2 linked regions of the Tribolium castaneum genome follow. The protein of the gene in region 1 interacts with the protein of each later gene in a pairwise test. Links are inferred from orthologs where the notes say so. Each region holds a gene or a part of one and is shown on either strand. Other genes may lie near its edges. The genes, in order: Smurf and fu.

The links.
Region 2: the proteins of Smurf (region 1) and fu interact in binary tests that used the Drosophila melanogaster proteins (3 or more experiments, as listed by UniProt). The link is inferred for Tribolium castaneum from reciprocal best matches to the Drosophila melanogaster genes Smurf and fu.

Annotation. Positions count from the first base shown.
Region 1 is NC_087399.1:1,655,346-1,664,820, forward strand, and holds the start of Smurf (E3 ubiquitin-protein ligase SMURF2), read right to left. Parts: upstream 6,134-9,475; 5' UTR 6,031-6,133; coding exon 5,976-6,030; intron 5,844-5,975; coding exon 5,805-5,843; intron 5,749-5,804; coding exon 5,506-5,748; intron 2,790-5,505; coding exon 2,431-2,789; intron 2,384-2,430; coding exon 1,966-2,383; intron 1,910-1,965; coding exon 1,740-1,909; intron 1,688-1,739; coding exon 873-1,687; intron 750-872; coding exon 104-749; 3' UTR 1-103. Other genes in the region: probable DNA double-strand break repair Rad50 ATPase, read right to left, coding at 6,361-6,766, 6,813-7,042, 7,095-7,274, 7,329-8,084; hexosaminidase D, read right to left, coding at 8,293-8,491, 8,541-8,627, 8,682-8,849, 8,901-9,279. UniProt on the Drosophila melanogaster protein: E3 ubiquitin-protein ligase which accepts ubiquitin from an E2 ubiquitin-conjugating enzyme in the form of a thioester and then directly transfers the ubiquitin to targeted substrates.
Region 2 is NC_087395.1:1,159,587-1,169,061, forward strand, and holds the start of fu (serine/threonine-protein kinase fused), read right to left. Parts: upstream 4,104-9,475; coding exon 3,936-4,103; intron 3,888-3,935; coding exon 3,774-3,887; intron 1-3,773. Other genes in the region: centriolar and ciliogenesis-associated protein HYLS1, read left to right, coding at 4,334-4,487, 4,539-4,880, 4,929-5,101; gastrula zinc finger protein XlCGF26.1, read left to right, coding at 8,858-9,475. UniProt on the Drosophila melanogaster protein: Probable serine/threonine-protein kinase; maternally required for correct patterning in the posterior part of each embryonic metamere. May be involved in control of cell division during metamorphosis and ovarian development. May interact with costal-2.

The sequences.
Region 1 (9,475 bases):
GCGTGAAATGACTAGCTTAGGCACTTACTTTTGAACCGTAACCGTGAGAGCAAGGCACTCTTCAGTCTTGCAAAAGACCAAATGATATGCGGACGATTTCTTATCACTCCACGGCAAACCCGCACGTCTCCTCCACAGCCTGCGTCAACTTATCGGCCAACGTCTGATAACTATCATAGGGAGGAATATCAATTCGATTAAAACAAGTGTGTGCTTTAGGCAAATTCTGCGGTGAACAATCTATACAATGTATAGTGAAGAGCCGAGGTCCCGCCGCCCCCGTGCTCCCCTGCAGGGCCTTGAACCCCTGCAAAGGCACCCGGGACGACCCGGTAACGAACTGCAACAACCTCGCCCTCATCTCCTCCGAGTACGACTCCACCACTTGCCAAAACCATTGAACAACGGGAGTTTCAGGTGTGCAGTGTTTGAGTCGTGTGTGACTTCGCCAATCGGCGATATCTATCGAACCGATTCCACTAATCACTAGTTCCAGTTCGCGTTCGTCGAACGGGCGAAGTAGTGACGGTGGAATAAGTTCAGTGAAACCTTTCTGAAGCGCAAGGAATTGTTGCTCAATTCCGCGCATAAAACGATAATTTACGTAAAGTTTGACGTATTCGCGTTTGTTGTCTTCGGTTACTGGAATGGTGGCGCCGCTTGGCTTCAATTCGTGCACTTTTACGATTCCGAAACTGTTGTTCTCCACCGAGAAGGTGGTGTCGAGGACGCCGTCGATGTTGTTTTCCCTGTTGGGAGAAAAATGTTTATTTTATTGTCTCAATTTACGTAAAATAAAACGTTACAATAGTCCAAACATTTCGTTATTTTTCTTCCTTTATTCTACATTTGTGCAACAAATAAATACTTACAACATCCACGTGAGACTCCGGTGTAGTTCCGGATCCACCCCTTCAATATCTTGCAACGTGATTGGTTTATTAAGCAATTGTTTATAAAACGGCAACGTAAACCCGCCCTCTAACTGATGATTATGAAACACTGCAATCCCCAAAATCCTTCCAACAAAATGAAAATACGACAAATGTTCCGGATTTACCGCCGAATCCGGATTAATTTGTAACGTGTAGTGATCATCCCGACTGTATTGAAACAACCCATATTGTGGGTTTAACATTTCCCGCGACAACAAATGCAACCACTCGCGTGCCACGCCCCCATAATCCAATCCCTCCTCCCCTTTAAACTTCACCATCAGTCTTTTGCGCATATCTTTCGGTCGCATTTTCATTATAAGTCTATAACTCTCTTCAAACACTTCATTACGCGAAACTTCAAGTCTACAATGACCACTTTGCGGCTGCAATGCCGTTAATTCCGCTCGTAAAGTCTTCAATTTCGCAACTAAATCCCGCCGATATTTCGGTAAATGATCGCAATCGTTGAGTAGACTTTGAGGCAACTCCTCCACAATCCGAGTGCGAGGCGGCGGTGAAAGTGGTGCCGGATTTTGAGGCACTGCTGTCGTTGTCGTTGTTGTCGTAACGGTTGTTGTTGACGTTGAAGGCGATGTTGTACTTGCTGTTGTCGTAGTTGGGGTAGTTCTAGTTGTTGGCGTCGTGGTTGAGGTGGCGCTAGCCCGACGTAAAATATTGTTGAGTATTTGAGTGTTGAGGCGAGGGTCGGTGAATTGAGTCGTCCTGTTGTTGTGATCAACGAAATAAATCTGTGGAAATGAATGATATAATTGTTGTTTATTTATTTATTTGGGGTTGTACCCGGCCTGAGGCTGTTTGGCGCATTTCCCAACCAGGCGGAAGGGGGCCCAAATGGTCCAAAGCCAGGCTCAAGGGGGCCAAGTCTTTGGGTATTCGGGGGTCGTGCCATGTCGATACGCCGGTAGGGATGTGGTAGAAATAGACCTGTCCCTGCTGAGTTGTCCTCAACTCTGCCAAAAAATAATAAATTACGAAAAATACGAAATAATTTTACTGTTGTTGTTACCGTAACCGGGAGGCAAATCCAGCTTGCTGTTCTGTGTAACCGGCCCTTGGGCTGTCGTCCCTCCCGAATTCCTGTTATTCCTCCCTGACCTCCTCCTGCTGCTCCCATCCCTTCGCTCCTCTGCACTCCTTTGCCGCCTTTCGCTGCGCACGATAGCCCTTTGGCCTTGCCCTTGCCCCATTTGTGGGCTCACAACGTTCGTATTTTCGCCATTCGGTGCGTTACAACTGATATTATTAGGCGCTGGAATAACAGACGTCGAAGTCGGCGATAGCGTAATAAAATTGTTTCGATTGTCGGTCGTTTGAGGCGTTGATGTGGTTTTTTGTGGACTGACCACTGGCGAAACCGGCGATGTACTCGAACTAGGGGTGAGGGTCTCCCCCGTGTTATTATTCAGAATTTCCTGTACACCCATCTGTCTTTATTAATTAAAAAACACCGCGAAAAAAATAACTACAATACCTGTGTGCCCCCTATCGTATTTTCGTTATTAGTGTTATTATTATCGTTTTGATGCGTGGAGCGTCTTCTTGTTTTGTTGGTCGATTGTGGTTTAATCCACTGTGTGGACCTGGTGATGTGATTAACGTAGTAGGGCCTTCCGTTTTCCGTTCGGCGTTCCTCCCAGCCGGGCGGTAAATCGTCGTTATTTGAGGGCGAAGAATCGCGATCAGTTGGCCCCCGTAACTCGCCTTGGGGGCCAACAACGGCCAAAGGTGTACCACTACAAGGGCCATCGCGTGATAATAACGAAATGATGATTTGACCTTTGACCGGTTCGCTGTCGGCCGGACATGCTTTTCCCAGATCCAAACATTGGTCTGGAAATTAAAATCGTTACGGTACTGCACACATGATGCGACATATGGTTGAGTAATAGAAATAACGGTTACGGTACTGTGAAAGTGAACGGAAATGCTGCGAAAAATTCGCTTTTTAAAAATAGAAGATACTAGAAACGGAAATGGATCAGATCGATTTCCGTGTGTTACATAATTTTGTGACACACACATACACGTGCTAAGATTGTGGGATTAATGTTTCATTATGATTCATGAAAACGACACGCAAAACTGCGATCTTTTAAATTATTAACATATTTTTATAAACGGCGGAGATACAGTGTATGTCGTTGTGATTATTTTTTTACTGAAAAATTCCTTCTGCTTGTTTGTGTTGATAATATTGACAGTTTAAACGACGTAACAAGAGATAAAAGTATGCATAACAATGCTTTATTAACCGGTGGCGTGCAACAAAATCAATTCTGATTTGTATTGCCTTCGAGACAAGACGAAAAATCGCTAAATAATACCAATAAATTGCGTCGTTTTCAAGCCAAAATCTCAATTATAACAAATAAAAAAGTAAACGTAATTAACACCTGAATTAAAAGGGTAAAGAAACATAAAAAAACACAATTATTTACAGACGTTTATTATTTTATTATTATTTGTCATATTATAAATGCCTTCCCTTCAAAAAATACCTTCTAGACAAGCTGAAAAATCGCTAAATAAGACATTTTGCTTAAGATTCCATTCAAAATTAATGAACAAAATTGAGGATTAATTAAATTTTTCAACAATTGTCTACCTTATTTTTGACAATTTTTCTGTAATAATGTTTTTGCATAAAAGAAATCAAAAATTGAAAAATATTTTTTCATTAAATTTCAGTTTTTGTGTTTTTTCGGCTCGGTTTATTTTGGCAATAAAATAAAAAACGTGTTTAAAGGCTTTAAAAAAGTAAGAATAACTCATTTTTTGACCAAATTTTATCATTTTTCAGTCTATACTTGACGAAATTTTACCCAAAAACCAACGAGTTGGAACAAAAGTTACATCAGATTTATTTTATTTTTATGATTTTGAAACCGGTTTCTAAAAACACCCCCAATTTAGACTTATTTTGCGGATTTTAGACGTTTTTTGATCAAATCTTGTAAAATAAATGAGTAGGCGTGTCTTTTATGGACGCGTCATTTTCATTTTGGGTGACTGTACACCATTTACGAGCCAAAACAAAACACGAATTAAAAAAAAGTAAACGAAATCTACACACACCTGAATTAAAAAAATAAAAGAACATAAAAAAATATGCGAATGCACAATTATGACATCAAAAGAGGTTTCTTGTTTAATTATTTGTTTGTCATGTACTTGCGTAATTTCAGCCAAAACAAACCAAAAAGTTAAAAAAAAGAATATGTAATATAAACAAACATAATAACAATAAAAACATTAATATAAATGACAAATAATTCATACATCCATAAACTGACTGATTATTAATTTTTAAAAATCCAAATTAATTTCAAACACAATAATTGATTTTTTAACCCGATTGGTCCATGAAATGTTTGCAAAAAAACCTAGGCCACAGGCTAATTAAAAGTTGAAACGCTGCATTTGAAAAAAAATCAATTAAAAATTAAAAAAATCGGTTTACTGACGACCTTAATTTGTCTTAAACTTCCTAATACAAGCGCATACTTTACGGTTAAACCTAATTACTTTACAAAAAATTTTGAGACGCGTTCAAATCGCAGCTTGTAGCTAATATTAAGCCACCTGTTGTTGATTATTTAACTATTTAAATGAACAACATTTGTTACTTCTAAAAATACAATTTGGCCTAAATAAAGTAACAGATTTGCAAACAACTTTATCGAAAATGTCATCTGTCGCGTGTGATAAATTATAACATAGATACTACGATGCAACGATGACAAAGCTTGTAGAAATACGTATGATAATGATATTATTACACGAAACGCAAACCGCCGACAATTTAGCGAGAATTCGCTTATCAAATGTTTTTTAACAATGCAAGCTTCAAATAATCTTAATAAAAAAATCAATATTCCGCACTTAATCCTTAACCTTTCCAATTGTTTTAATGACTTATTGGCCACCCCATATATCGACAAACCGTCACAGCCTTAATATGGATTTCAAATTGATTGATTGGCTCGATTTACACGCTTCCTGTTGATGACAAGAACCCGAGTTTCATACTTCGAACAGTGTAATAAATAAAACATTATTCATCACATTTAAGTCACACAAAACCGTCTTAAAAAAATGATTTTTTCTACAATGGTTGCGGAAACCGTTATTTAAATGCCACGCATCGAATCGAAAGTAATTTATTTTTATTAAAACGGTTTTCCGGTGTGACATTGGTTGGAAATCGAGTCGTTACGGCCCGCTAACCACACGTCGATTTTTTCCAATCGATTTTGCGACGAAACTAGGTTTTACCTCGACCGAATCGATGCACGTTTTATTAATAATTTAAATCGCAGTTTTACCTTGAGTCGGGAGAAAAGTTCGGCTTTGTTGGGAATAATAGCAATAATTAAGCCAATGCGGCGTCGACAATACTTTCCCAATTAAATTTTAATTTAGAATCGCCGGCTGGAATTATCTTTAATGGGTTGTGACAACAGATGTTGAAGAAAACTACAATGAGTGCACACTCAAGATAATTGAACGAAATTCGAAAACTCCGTCTTATCACTCGGGTACTCACATCCGGTGTCCCTCAGCCTCTGGATGTGCGAATTAACAATCCGGACGCAGCCCAGGAACCCGCTGCCCTGCTTCTTGATGACTTTGCGGTGGTTCCACACCGAGATCGTGATGGAATCATTGCGCCCGATGTACAGGTCGTAGTGCGAGTTCCACTTGGGCTCCAACGTGTTTTTAACGAACTCGGTGGAGTGGCACTGTCCACTACCGTCCACCGAAATCTTCGCAAAAGGGTCGGGAAGGCCTGCGAAAAAAACCGTCAAAAAACCCGCGCCCGGGCACACCCTTGCACCAACTTACGGAACAAATCCTTCCGGACCAAATTCCTCGCACAAAGAACTGCAAAAAAGAGCGGTTACATCACAATTTTGTAAACTTGGGAGGTCCCCAATGAGGCCATATTGTTTGACAGTTGGACAATGCGGTTCTTGGGGACGCTAAAACTGGGAAAAGGGCACGGTTTTTACTCACTCGTCAGTCGGATTTTTTGGGCACCATTTCGACGACTCGTGGGGGCGTTGGACATTTTCAAATTGCTGGTTTTTGTCAACACATCACTCACTTTTCACACACAACGCCATTTTCGAACGGGGCGACGCGAGCGACATCTACCAAAATGGGCGCCGAATACGAATATTTTTTTCCCACAGAAAAAAGGCCACAAAAAAGGCCACGTGGAAAAAAACTCACACAGGAAAATACTCACTTTCCAAAAAAACATACAAAAGAACTCAAAAAAATCGTCCCGTGTTCTGTCAGGTGGTTTCAACATGAGATTTTTTTCTCAGTGCGTTTTTTCCTGTGTGGGTTTTTCGTGGATTCGCAGCAAACACTTGAAATCAATTTATTCAGACAATTACACAGTGTACGCAATCTGGATGTTGTGCTTCTGCAGCAGCCCCCTTAGCTCGTCGATCATTTTCTCGTCCCGTTTTTTCGCCTCCAAAGCTGCCGTCTGGACCGTCTCGACCATTTTCTTGTACTTGCTTTCGAGGCTGTTTAGCGCGTTTCTCAGTTCTTCCTGTTTTGCGGCCGAGGTTCGCACGATTAGATCGGCCTTCTGGGCCTGGAGTTGCACCTGACTTGTCACTTCCTTCAAGTCAAGCTCTTCCTTCAACTTTTCGATTTTCTTCGAGTAGTCTTTTTCGTTCCGGTGCAGGACTTTGTCCAGTCTCGAGAGACACTTTTTCAGGTTTAAAATTTGCTCAGAATTTGCCTGGTTCGTTTGTTGGCTCTCCCTAATCTTCAACTCGCTCTGAAGTCTAGAAAAAACTACAATAAAAAATTAGTGTGTTACTTTACACCCACTCGTGTATTCTTTGCTCCTTCTCTTGTAATAAACTCATGTTTGAATCACTCAGAGTTTTAATTTTCGCCTCGTACTCCTCCCTCAAACTATCAATCCTCGCCTCCAATTCCCTAATTTTGCAACTGTACGACTTTTCCAAACTTGCCACTTCGTCCTTGTGGTACTTTTTCAAATAGTCGACCTCTTTCTGCCTCAAGTGGGCAAACTTTTCCTTGAATTCGTTCATTTCCTGCAAAAAACGCAATAACGCCACTTGTTTATTTGGTTTTGTTGGCCCCCACTTTACTCTTGATTTTGTCCAACTCCACAAACTTTTTTTTCTGCGAGTCTAGTATCACCTGTAGCTCCGCCTTTTCTCGCTCCGCCTCCGATAATTTCACTTGGAGCGTCTCGAGTGTCTTTTTCCTGTCTTGCGTCAGACAGTGCGTGTCTCTGAGCGCGTTCTTGACCTCAAGCAAATCCTGAAATTGGTTTAAACCCAAATAAAATCACATAATTGACCTTTTTTTTGACACCTTCATTCTCATCTTAAGCGCTTCTAGTTCCTGGGCCGTGGGCTTGCGGTTAGAGCTTTCCTCAGCTAGAAATTTCTCAGAATTGAAACTACCACCCCCTTTACATTTCTCTTGCTCGTATTTTTTGGCAAACTCTTCTTTGGTTTTCAAGCCTTCCATCAAGTGTTGCGTCCCTAATTTGTTATTCCCATCGTCCTCCTGGTCTTTGTCGCCACATGCGTGCGTTTCGGACGTGGTTTCGGCCAAATCGTACCATGAGCCGCTCGTTTCTGACTGTTTTTCCTCCCCTTGTCCCACGGACCCCAGTTTTTGGAACGGCCGCATTAATTTCGTTTTGATCGGTTTGTTCTTTTTTTGCGGCCAGGTGTTGTTTTTATTTTTATTTAAGTTGCGGTTAGATTGTGATGCGACAATAAAGGGCCATTGGTTTTGGTCGTTTTGGAAAAACTTGTCGGAAATTTGCGCTGGGTCGATTTGCAAGCGCTGGAAGGTTTTTATTCGTGGGAGGAGCCCACGGGGCGGGTTGTACGTGAAGGGCGGTTCTAGCACGTTGTCGTGGATCTGATTGGCCAGCTCGAGTAGGTACTTGTTGCGCTCCGCCCGTTCGGTGCAATGGGCGTTGCTTAAGCGCTCCAGCCACACCCTGTACCGTTCTAGGTGGTAATGGTTGTCGATGTGGTTGATGTGGGGCTTGATGGCGAGGAGAATTTGACGAAACTCATTATCTAACAATTCACTTTGTACGTCATCATTCATGTCGCTTGTTTTGCGTGTAAACCAACAAAAATATTGACTTAGGCATTCGCCTAATTAACGAGACATTCTGACACTTTTAATTTGAGTGACTCGTAATGACTTGATTGAAATAAAAAGGCGGACAAAAATATAAAAACTTTATTTCGAAGCAAGTGCTTACAACATACAGAAAAATAGAGCTTATCTAAGTATCACAATTAGTGGGAATTTAAATATTCAATCGTCTCTGGCCGCGGACGCGGCACCCCAAAGACAATTGCGTCTCGCAGTCGCTCTTCACTTGTTTCAAGTGCTTCTTGATTGGGTCGACCAGCGTGCCCATCAATTCCTCAATGGTGTGTTGGTAAAAAATCGGCTCAAGGTGCGTCTTCAGGTACGTTTCGAGTGACATAAGTTCGTTCAACAAGCTGAAAAAAAAGTATTATCTTTTGTAACAACAAAAACCGAAGCTATTACTCGGTTATAACCGGCAGGATGGTGTCAACTTGCATCGGATTGGTGTAGTTGTTCAAGACCTGCCATTGGTTAAACCACGAGTGCATCCTTCAAGCCAACCAATCAGCAAACGCCCCGAACGCGCCAAATTTAATTACTTACTGGTCGCTGTCCACAATATTCCTGTACTTGCCGCGCAGGTTAACAAACCACTCAAGCCCCACGAACACCTGCCATCCTGGAAAACTCAAAGTTGGCAACACTGGCGTCCTTAGAGAACTCCCGAAATTCGGAGTGTTTTCGTTATAACCCAGCATTTTCCCAACCGAACTAAAACACACAACTCAAACAAACTTCCAAATTTTTTTTTGGGAAAAATACTTGTGCAACTCCTGATTATAGCCCCCATTAAGCCACGTCTTAAGACAAAGACTCAAAGATGGCACTGCTGTCGGTAACAACTCGCATAGAGTCGCGTAATGGTCGTAGCGTGACCAGCCGGTAAAAGCGATTCCTTTAAAATTCAAAATTTTTCCGGCGTGTTGTCCCAGCTCAGAAAGCCAGGCTTCGTGATTGCTCACGTGGAATTTATTGATTGGAAGGATCTGACAGCTGGAAGTGGCGCCCTTGAATGCGGACGCGGCCCAAATATTTGTGAATACGTTACTGTACTTCTCCCACAAAGGGGCGCCCAAATTGAACGTTTCGGCCGAATTGTAGTGCCAAATCATCGGCTCGACCAAAGTCCCCAAATAATAGGCTGTTTTTACGTAAAAATGCCCACAAAACGGCATAATAATCAGTCCAGTCAAATAAGCCTTCAAATCGAAATGTGGAAAAGCTTGCATTTTTAAAATATATAAGTTAAAAAATATTATTTATATAAAATTTTAAATAAAAATTGCAAATCATGATTGATTAACTTATTGATTGGATCATGGCCTCCTTGATGTATG
Region 2 (9,475 bases), on another chromosome or scaffold:
TTACTACGTTACCACGTCGGCACTCAGCATCCACATGTCCAATGCGACCACATTTCTTGCACTCAATTCTTGGTTTCGGGCACTTTGTCGCAACATGTCCTCGATTACGACAATTGTAACACCGAACTGACGAATACAGTTTTTGTGTTTCGACTCGACTTGGAAGGAACCTCCTCCTTTCCCGAGGCGCCTGCTTTGCGAGCGTATCCCGCTTGTCACCTTCGGATCTCAGAGTCGACAAATACTCAGCGTACAAGCTTTCGGGTGTAACGTAACGCCCTGCTCTAGCCCCATTTCTGAGAGTCACGTCAGTGATTCCATCAATAAGACAGGAGACTGCATTCGTTCCTGTTATGTCACAAGCCTGCAACAGATTTAATTTCCCAAAATAATATTGTGCCCAGGTTTCACCATCTTCCTTCACCCTATTCACTAGCTTACGAAGTGTGGAAGCATAATCGTGGTGATCGGGGAAGGTGGCTTGTAACAAACGTTTCCATTCATCCCAGCTCCGGTCGTATGCTGAGGGATCGAGATTGTCGTACCACTCCTTGGCCAACCCCTTGAGTCGACTTATCATGCCGTAAATCGTTGTACGTTCGTCCCAACCGTTCACGAGAGCCAACTGGTCAATTTTATGCAACCACTTAGTGGTACTAAAATTGGGGTTTCCTGGAGCGAATTCAGGAATCAGGTCACTTTTAATGCCAACTTGTCCTGATGTGTGCTCAAAATTGCGGTTTAGCAAACGTCGATTCAAGTTTTCCACAAGTTGCTCAAGTCTCGCGATTCTAGCGGACTCGGCCGAAACTGGGGGTGAATTTACTGTAGTGGAGACCCCAGGCGCGGACCTTTTCGGCCGTGGCTCATCGTCACTTGAGTCCGAGTCGTCCGAGTCCACATTTCCTCGGTACCTGTGACGCCCCATTGCGAAAATCTCATCAGAAAACTTTTCGCGCCTTTTGAGCCACACCCAAATGAAAATTGACAGCGTGTGGTTGCGTAACTCCTAGAACTCGTCAGAAATCAGAAAAATCAGATAAATTCGGCTAGCACCCGATTGATTTGTTCGATTTCAAGTAGTAAAACACAATTTTGTTACGAATGAAACGGTACAGATTCCCAAAACTTCAATTTTTGGCCCTTGCCTTGGCGACCCACAAATTCCTCACAAAATCACCACAATTCACCACTCTCTATCGGAAACGATTATTTGAGCAATATCCTACCGCTGCTCTGTAAATGAAACTCGGAATTCACCCAAAAACTAATTTATTAGCAAATTAGATTCAACAACGACATTGACACTTCCACAGTGTCCTTCCAACTAACTAGGCGTTGCCCGTACGCGCCTCACGCGTCATCATTTCCCGCCAATTTCAACAGCAGCGCCCCCTTCACTTAACAGACAGAAGGAAAAAAATGGTGAGACAAGCAGTCAAACGATACGAAAATAGAAGAAAACTGAAAAAATAATAACTTCATTGCGAACAAAAATTCTACAAATAATTAAACATAAAAATAATTTTAAATATGTTGGGGGAATACTCAGATTGTAACTGGTTTCCTGATTTCAAATTGTGTTAGATTTCTGGTGTCACCACAACTCAGTCCTGCGTAATTCACAAACATTATTTTTCAATTTTTGTAAATTTAAGGATAATTTGATTCACTACTAGAATAGCCGACAAGGAGCAATTTACTTTGATTTTTTATTTATATAAAAAAATTAACTGCATCTTGTCTCTGCTATCCCATTTAATTTATTAAATCATACTTAAATAAAAATAACAACAGACGTTGAACAGTGAATACAATTTTTTGTAAATGTGATTGTTGGTATAAAAAGCATTTTTCTAAAATCACCAAACAAAATTTTTGCACAGTTTTCATCAAATTAACACGAAAATCACAAGATTTGGTGTTGGTTGCCTAACATTTATACACTATATTGAAAATCTTTGTTTAAAAAACGAAAAGAACTTAGTAAAATATAAGGAAAAATTGTCTCTCTTTATTTGGTGTTTCAAACAAAAATTTTTAGATCGTCTGATCAACTGATTACAACAATTTAATTTAGCAACAAGATCATTAATAGATAATAGGCAAAAATAATAAGGAAAAAACAGTACAAGGAAATAAAAATTGTTTTACGAAATTACTTGAAAGAGAAAATAAGAAAATAAAGAATAACCAATAAAGACAAAAAATCTAAATTTTAAATAAAAAAATAAAAAATTGGAAAAGATGGCCTCAAAAAACATTATTGAAAATGTAAAAAAAGGATGATTAAGAAAAAACTATATAGAATAGAATAAAACTGTATAGAACTATACAGGATGCTCAAAAACTGGCGCACCAACTCAGTGGTACGCTGTTGAGAAGCATGTGTAGATCACGGAAAAAATCTTGAAAAAATTCCTAATGTCATATTTTAAAAAATATGGAGCTACAAACTTATTTTGTAAACTTCTTCAGTTTTCATTATTTTTTAATAGTTTTATGTTTCACACTAAGTAATCGTTCCCTAACACAACAATGAATAATTATTTTTAAATTTCCTATCAGACTTTAGCAGATTTTTTAATTAAAAAAAATAAAATTCGTCAAAAAAATCACAATTTGTAGATGTGTCAACATTGGGAATTATTACTTAGGAAACCGTTTCAAAAATAATTTATTTTTATTGTTGATTAAGTTCTATTGCGATCATCACTGTTAGACAACGTTGCCACATATCATCTAATTAAATATAATTAATATTTATAATTATATATATTTTTTATAATATATATATATATTTATAATATATATATATATATATATTATATATAATATAATTAATATAATTATTTATCAATAATTTTAATACAAAGAATTTTTTTACTAATTTTACCGTTATATGTAAGCAATTCTCTACCATATTCCAATAAGTTGGTGCGTCGGTTTTTGAGCACTCGGTAGAATAGAAAAAAAAGAACAGAATAAACCACAAACGACAAACTACAAAAGACGAAGCCATAAACTGAAGACAATATAATATGAAAGAAATATAGCAAAAGGTAAAAAAAAACAAAAAGTAAAGCAATGGTAATATGAAAAAGAAATGCTAAAGCAACGAATAGAATAATGTCGCAGGAGAAATAAACCCACAAAATTAAAAAAAAACAAAATAAAAAAATGCAAAAAAGGCATAAAAGAAAACACACAAAATTAAACGAAGATAGAAAGAAAAAATTATGAGACAAGCAGTTAAACGATACGAAAATAAAAGAAAACTGAAAAAATAATAAAAAATAACATGAAAAAATGTAATTTCATTGCGAACACAAATTCTACAAATAATTAAACATAAAAATAATTTAACATATGTTGGAGGAATACTGTTAGATTTCTGGTGTCACCACAACTTTTTACAATTTTTGTAAATTTAAGTATGATTTAAATCATTACTGGGATAGCAGACTAATTTACATTGGTTTTTTATTTATTAAAAAAAAAATAAACTCCATCTTGTCTCTACTATCCCATTTAATTTGTTAAATCATACTTAAATAAAAATAACAACAGACGTTGAACAGTGAATCAAAATTTTTGTAAATGTGATTGTTTGTATAAAAAGCATTTTTCTAAAATCACTAAACAAAATGTTTATACAGTTTTCACCAAATTAACACGAAAATCACCAGATTTGGTGTTGGTTGCCTAACATTTGTACGGTACATTGAAAATCTGTTTAAAAAACGAAAAGAACTTGGGAAAAATTGTCTCACCTCATTTGGAGTTTCAAACGAATCAAGCATTTGTATAATATTGGGATGATGCAAATGTCTTTGAATTTCACATTCCCTTCGTAGACCAATTATTTCCTTGTTCGATCTTCGACCCTAAATGAAATAAATTTGAACGAGTTCGAGCCTCAGTTTTTAACTCACTTTACAGATAACTTTTAAGGCAACAAAAGATGAATCTGCGATTACTTTCGCTTTGTAAACTCGTCCAAACGATCCTTCGCCCAATAATTTAATAACTTCATACTTGTCCATATCATTTTTTACACTTGGAGAGGATTGTTTTTGTTTACTTACACTTCCGCGTGACATTTTTTTGACAATCAGATGTTTGTCACGCTGACAGGCAGGGACACCAACCCTCGTGAAAGTAACTGACTGGGTGGAAAGCAATTTTTTGCAAAGAAATACCAATTTTGTTGATAAAAATGATTTTGTGATTAGCAGTGTTTAATAAAATCAACGTTATTGTGAAATTAACCAACTGCGAGGTTTTGTAACACTTATTTTATGTCCCCACTTTTAGGGAATTTGATTTTCGTATGTTGCCTAGAAATTTAAGGTTTTGTTTCAACGTTTTCTTATTTTTTTTCTTAAAAATGACCACAAAAATAAGCCCTAGGGAAGTATTAGCGTATTTAAATGACTTGGGTTATCACAACATTAACCCACAACAATTGAAAGAATTTGTTTACGGTTGGTGAGTCATTTTTTGTTACTTTAATTGAACAAAAGTTTGGTTTTCAGACTTGAAAAAATTGATAAAGTATGAAGAACGCAAGAGAAGCAAACAAAGCCTTGGAAATGAAACAGATGTGCCGAACGAAAACGAAAAAAATAAAGATGATGTGTTTCTAGTTTTACATTCACAAGGGACTCACTCTTCAAGAGCCAAAACAGTTTCAAAGAAAGAAAGTGTAATTTCGTTAAAAATCAAGACAAGTAAAGGACCACAACACCATTGTCACGAAAACACGTTGGAGGCACAAACAGCCCCTGAAAAGGGTCAAGAAGACACGCTTGACTTTGTGCCCGTTAAAGATGTGCCTTGGAAAAAAATGATTAATTCTAGCAAACCTAAAAGTTCCTGTAAGTATTTTAAAGTGTTTGTAAGTTTTTTTACGTTTAAGCTTGTAGTCATAAGACCGGGAATTCAAACAAATATTAATAAGAGTGACCCTGTCGCACTCTACCACCAATATCAAAAGTGTTGGAAGCGACAAAAAATTCCAGGTGAAGACAACAGAACCGACTTGAGGTGGGCTATTAGAGAAAAAATGATGAGTGGACCTAGAGTGACAAGAGCTTGATTTTTATGTGTATTTTTACGTTAAAACGACCAGTTTTATAATAAATTGTTACAATCATGTCGTGTTAAATGAAAATGACTTCGTGCAGAAAATCTAACCTCTAAATAAATGTAAACAAAACGATGGCGGTAATATTACAAAAAAAACTTTCAAGATTTATAAAATCGACTTTGACGACATTTGCTTCTCCTGTTTATCTAGAAATTGTCCCGCAACTGTTTTTATGATAAATTTCGAGGGGGCTGCCTTGTCTTCCATACTCAAGGATATAATCAAGTGAGTCAAAAGTTGTGTAACTACTGAGGTCATTACGATACGCGATTTGCGTATCGTAATATCTAATGGAGTATAATATTTTTCTATTTTTTAATAGTTTTTTATCTTCCTTTCTTTCTATTTTCAATACTGTCTTCTGCGGCCACATTTTTTTCAATTTTTTATTCTTTCATTATTCTTTATTGGTCTTTATTAGTTATTTATTATTTTCTTATTTTCTCTATCAATTTTTCTTTCCTATCTCTTACTGTTTTTGAACAAAATCACAAAAAAGAGATTTTACTTCATAATTTTGATAGTTAATCAAGTAGACCTTGCAAAATGGTCAACAATAATGTTAAACTTCAATATTTTTTTTAGTTTTTTGCTGGTTTATTATCGAACAAGCAGTAAAACTATTAACATTTAATTATGGTTTATTATAACTTAGTGAATTATGTAAGGTAACTCAATCAGTCTGGCATGGCATTTTGAACTTCCTGAATGAAAATGGTAAACAAATCGAACATTTTTTTTAATTAATAGCACAATTTTTTCATATCGAAAGTTTACTTGATTAAAAATGAAAATAATGAGCTAAAATTCAGTTTTTAACTGTAAGAGATAGATATAGAAGATGTTAATAAAAGTCTGCATAAAAATTGATGTTCTTTTGACTACCATTGAAAAAACATGGTCATTCCATTTGAAGAAAACCGTTTTCTAATCTTTTTTTAATTCCCTAAATTTCGAAATTAATTTTTTTGGTACAAAAAGTGCGCAGTAGAAAAAATACTGTATGATATCTCGTTTATAAGGAATTTTGTCGCACTTACTCTATTATGGCACTCCTCGCTGCGCTCGTCGTGCGCTAAATTTGTGCGTGCGACAAAATGCGTCTTATAAAACTCGTATCCTAATATACTATTAATTTTACTTTTTTTGTATGATATAAATGGAGTGACAGTTATATATAAACTTACAGTACATAATGCAAAATGTGAATTTGTAAGAGGATATATAATTATTAATAATTAAGCAATTCTTATTTTTGGCATATTATTATTATTATTGCCCAAAAACTTATTATTATACGAAATTCGGGGCATTCGTAACATAATCAAACAAACATAAAACAATTAATTCATAGTTACAAACTCTCAAGATTCGAAAAACTGACTTTGCCCCAAATCCCGCTCCACATTTTTATTACTCTATGGTTTAGAGGCACTCTAACCTCACTTATTTCTCCAATAAACCTCAAAAAAAACGTAAAACTATTAATTCAAAGTTGCACTCTCAAGATTCGAAAAACTGACATTGTCTACTTTTACTTCTCCAATTTATATAGCTAGAGATTGTCTCGTGTGCGTTTTTGTGATAAATTTCAGGGGGGCTGACTTGTCTTCCATACTCCAGGATACAAACATTATTCAAGTAAGTTGAAAAGTGTCTAAATATAAACATGGTCAAGAGTGTTCCTAAAAATTCGTATGAAAAGCTGATATTAATACTATACAGGGTGTCTCAGCTAAGACTTTCGAGCTTAATATCTCAGTTATTTGTCAACGGATTGTTATGAAATTTAGAATGCACATATTTTAGGAGGTGGTCTTTCAATTAAATGCCCTCAAGTTAAAAAATGGAATTTTAAAACACATTTCTTTTATTTAAAATTACGCCAAATTACCGTTGGATCATTTCTTTACCATTCTGAGACACATGTATAAATATTTTGCCTTTAAGTTCTTGTTATTAATGTTATAAGGCCAATATTAAGCCTTACAAATGTGTAAAAACCGTCACATAATTAAAAACGTTTTGCCTGGTACTAAATTATCTTGTTCCATTTTTTTTAATATTCATTTTTGAAGGTTGTTAGGTATCTAAAACCGCTGTTATGATAGGGAGATAGAGTTAAATGTTAATTTTATTCATTTCATAGCAATGTGACGAAAAAACAAATTTCTAATTATTTCAAGGTTTAATTAAATTTTACGCAAAAAAATAATGTAACTTTATGTAAACTATTATAGGTCTATAACTCTTTTCGTTTCGTAATTATTCAACTTTTCGTTATAAAAAAGTGAAAAATCACTGCGAAGTCGCTTATGAGTATTTTCCAATAAATTTGCAACAGAAGAACTTAGAATACCTTGTACTTTTAGCAAATAGTCGACTTTTAGTTAATATACAGGCTGTGTCAAAACGCAAAAAGTTGAATAACTCATTTTTTTTTTCAAATGGAACACCATGATTTTTCTATGTATCGATAGCATTTTTGATAAGCTTTCAAATGATATCAGGTTTGCAAAGAAAATTTAAATTGTTTTTCAAAATTTTCCAAAAAAATTATTTTTTTATAAAATAAATTGTTAACCTATAGAATCTGATAGTCAAATGGTAATTAATTTTTTGGTATGTTCTACTGTGACTAATTACATTAGTTATCTAATTATTACTTGATACATTAATGAATTTCACTCATCAAGAATTATCACTAAAATAAATAATTTTTTTTATTTTTTTAAACACTTTAAGTAGTTTAAAAAACATGAGTTATTCAACTTTTGCGTTTTGGCACACCCTGTACATTATTTCCGTGTTTCAAGTTATTTCCTAAAACGACAAGGTATTCTGAATTTTTCTGTTGCAAATTTACCGGAAAATATTCATAGGTGGCTTTTTCAAAAATTGGTCTTTTTATAAAAAAAAAGTTTAATAATTTAGAAACTAAAAGAGATCGACCCATAATAGTTTATATAAAGTAACGTTATTTTTTGCATAGAATCTAATTATGCAAAAATATACAGGCTGTTCCATATAAAAATATAACTTTAATTCACCACCCTGTGTATAATAAAAGTACTCTGGATTAGCCTGTATACAAAATATACCTATTATTTGTTTCAAAATTATAAAAACGCCAACGTCGCATTTTACCGAATTATTTTTTTTAAAACATTGTAAAATTATTATTAATAATTAGGTCTCTCATTGAAATTGTAAACTAAATTAGCTATTAGTTTTTTTGAAGAGCACCAAATTTTGAGAAAGAAAAATACATATTACAAAAAAAGTATATGTGATGCAGAATTTTTGTTATTAAATTTCGATTCAGGAGCACTAATTTATAATGTTACACATACCACAATGGAGAAAAAAAAAGATTTTTTGCAGACCAGTGTAATTAGAGTAGGCGGTTTCTATTCTTTGTGATTGATAAACTAGAGCAAACTGAGGTAAAAAAATGCATTATAATTAAATATTATTATTCAAAACTTTATTATTTGACTCTTCAGCTTGGTTAATTATGACAATAAGCAGCACACAAATTAAAAAACTAATAAAAGATAGGATAAATATAAACTCAAATGACCACATAGTACCTATATGTTTAAACTTAACAATTTAGAAAATGCACAACACTCTGAACCATGTTTTAATTTAGATTCTGAATTGTTAAGATTTGTGATTTAATTTAATTTTAGGTCGCTGTTGATGCGTTGCCGAAGAAAATTTGTGAAGTCGTCCAGTTTTACATCTTCAAGTAGCGATTTCAACACTACAAAGTGTTTAACCGAAATGGATAATAGAATAGTTTCATGCAACGAAGAATATGAATATTCAAGTGATGAAGAAAGTGAAGTTGAAGATGAACCTTTTGTGTTGAGTAGTGATAGTGAAGATGATGCAATTAGGGACATTTATGGGATTCCCAAAGACTTAAACATTGTGTTTGTCGATATTGAAACGGCAAAGAAAGAACTAAATAGCAAAGGATTCGTTTTAAAGCATTTGGAACAAGATGGAGAGGTTGAGAGAATTGTTTGCACTTGTGATGGAGCATTTCAGTGCTTATATCATATCAAAATAGAAGAGCCATTAAACATTAAAGAAGAAGAGCCAGAAATTCCCAAAATAGAAGTTGAAACAACAAGCTTAAATGAACTTAAAACTAAAATGAAACTTAAACTTAAAAATGAACCAGAAGAAAAAAAAATTGAAACAATTGCCTCCACCTCTAGGATATCTTCTCCAAAATTAAATAATTCAAATATCAAAGATAAAGACCAAAAAAATCCGAAACTGAAGCGAAAACAATACAAGTGTAAGATT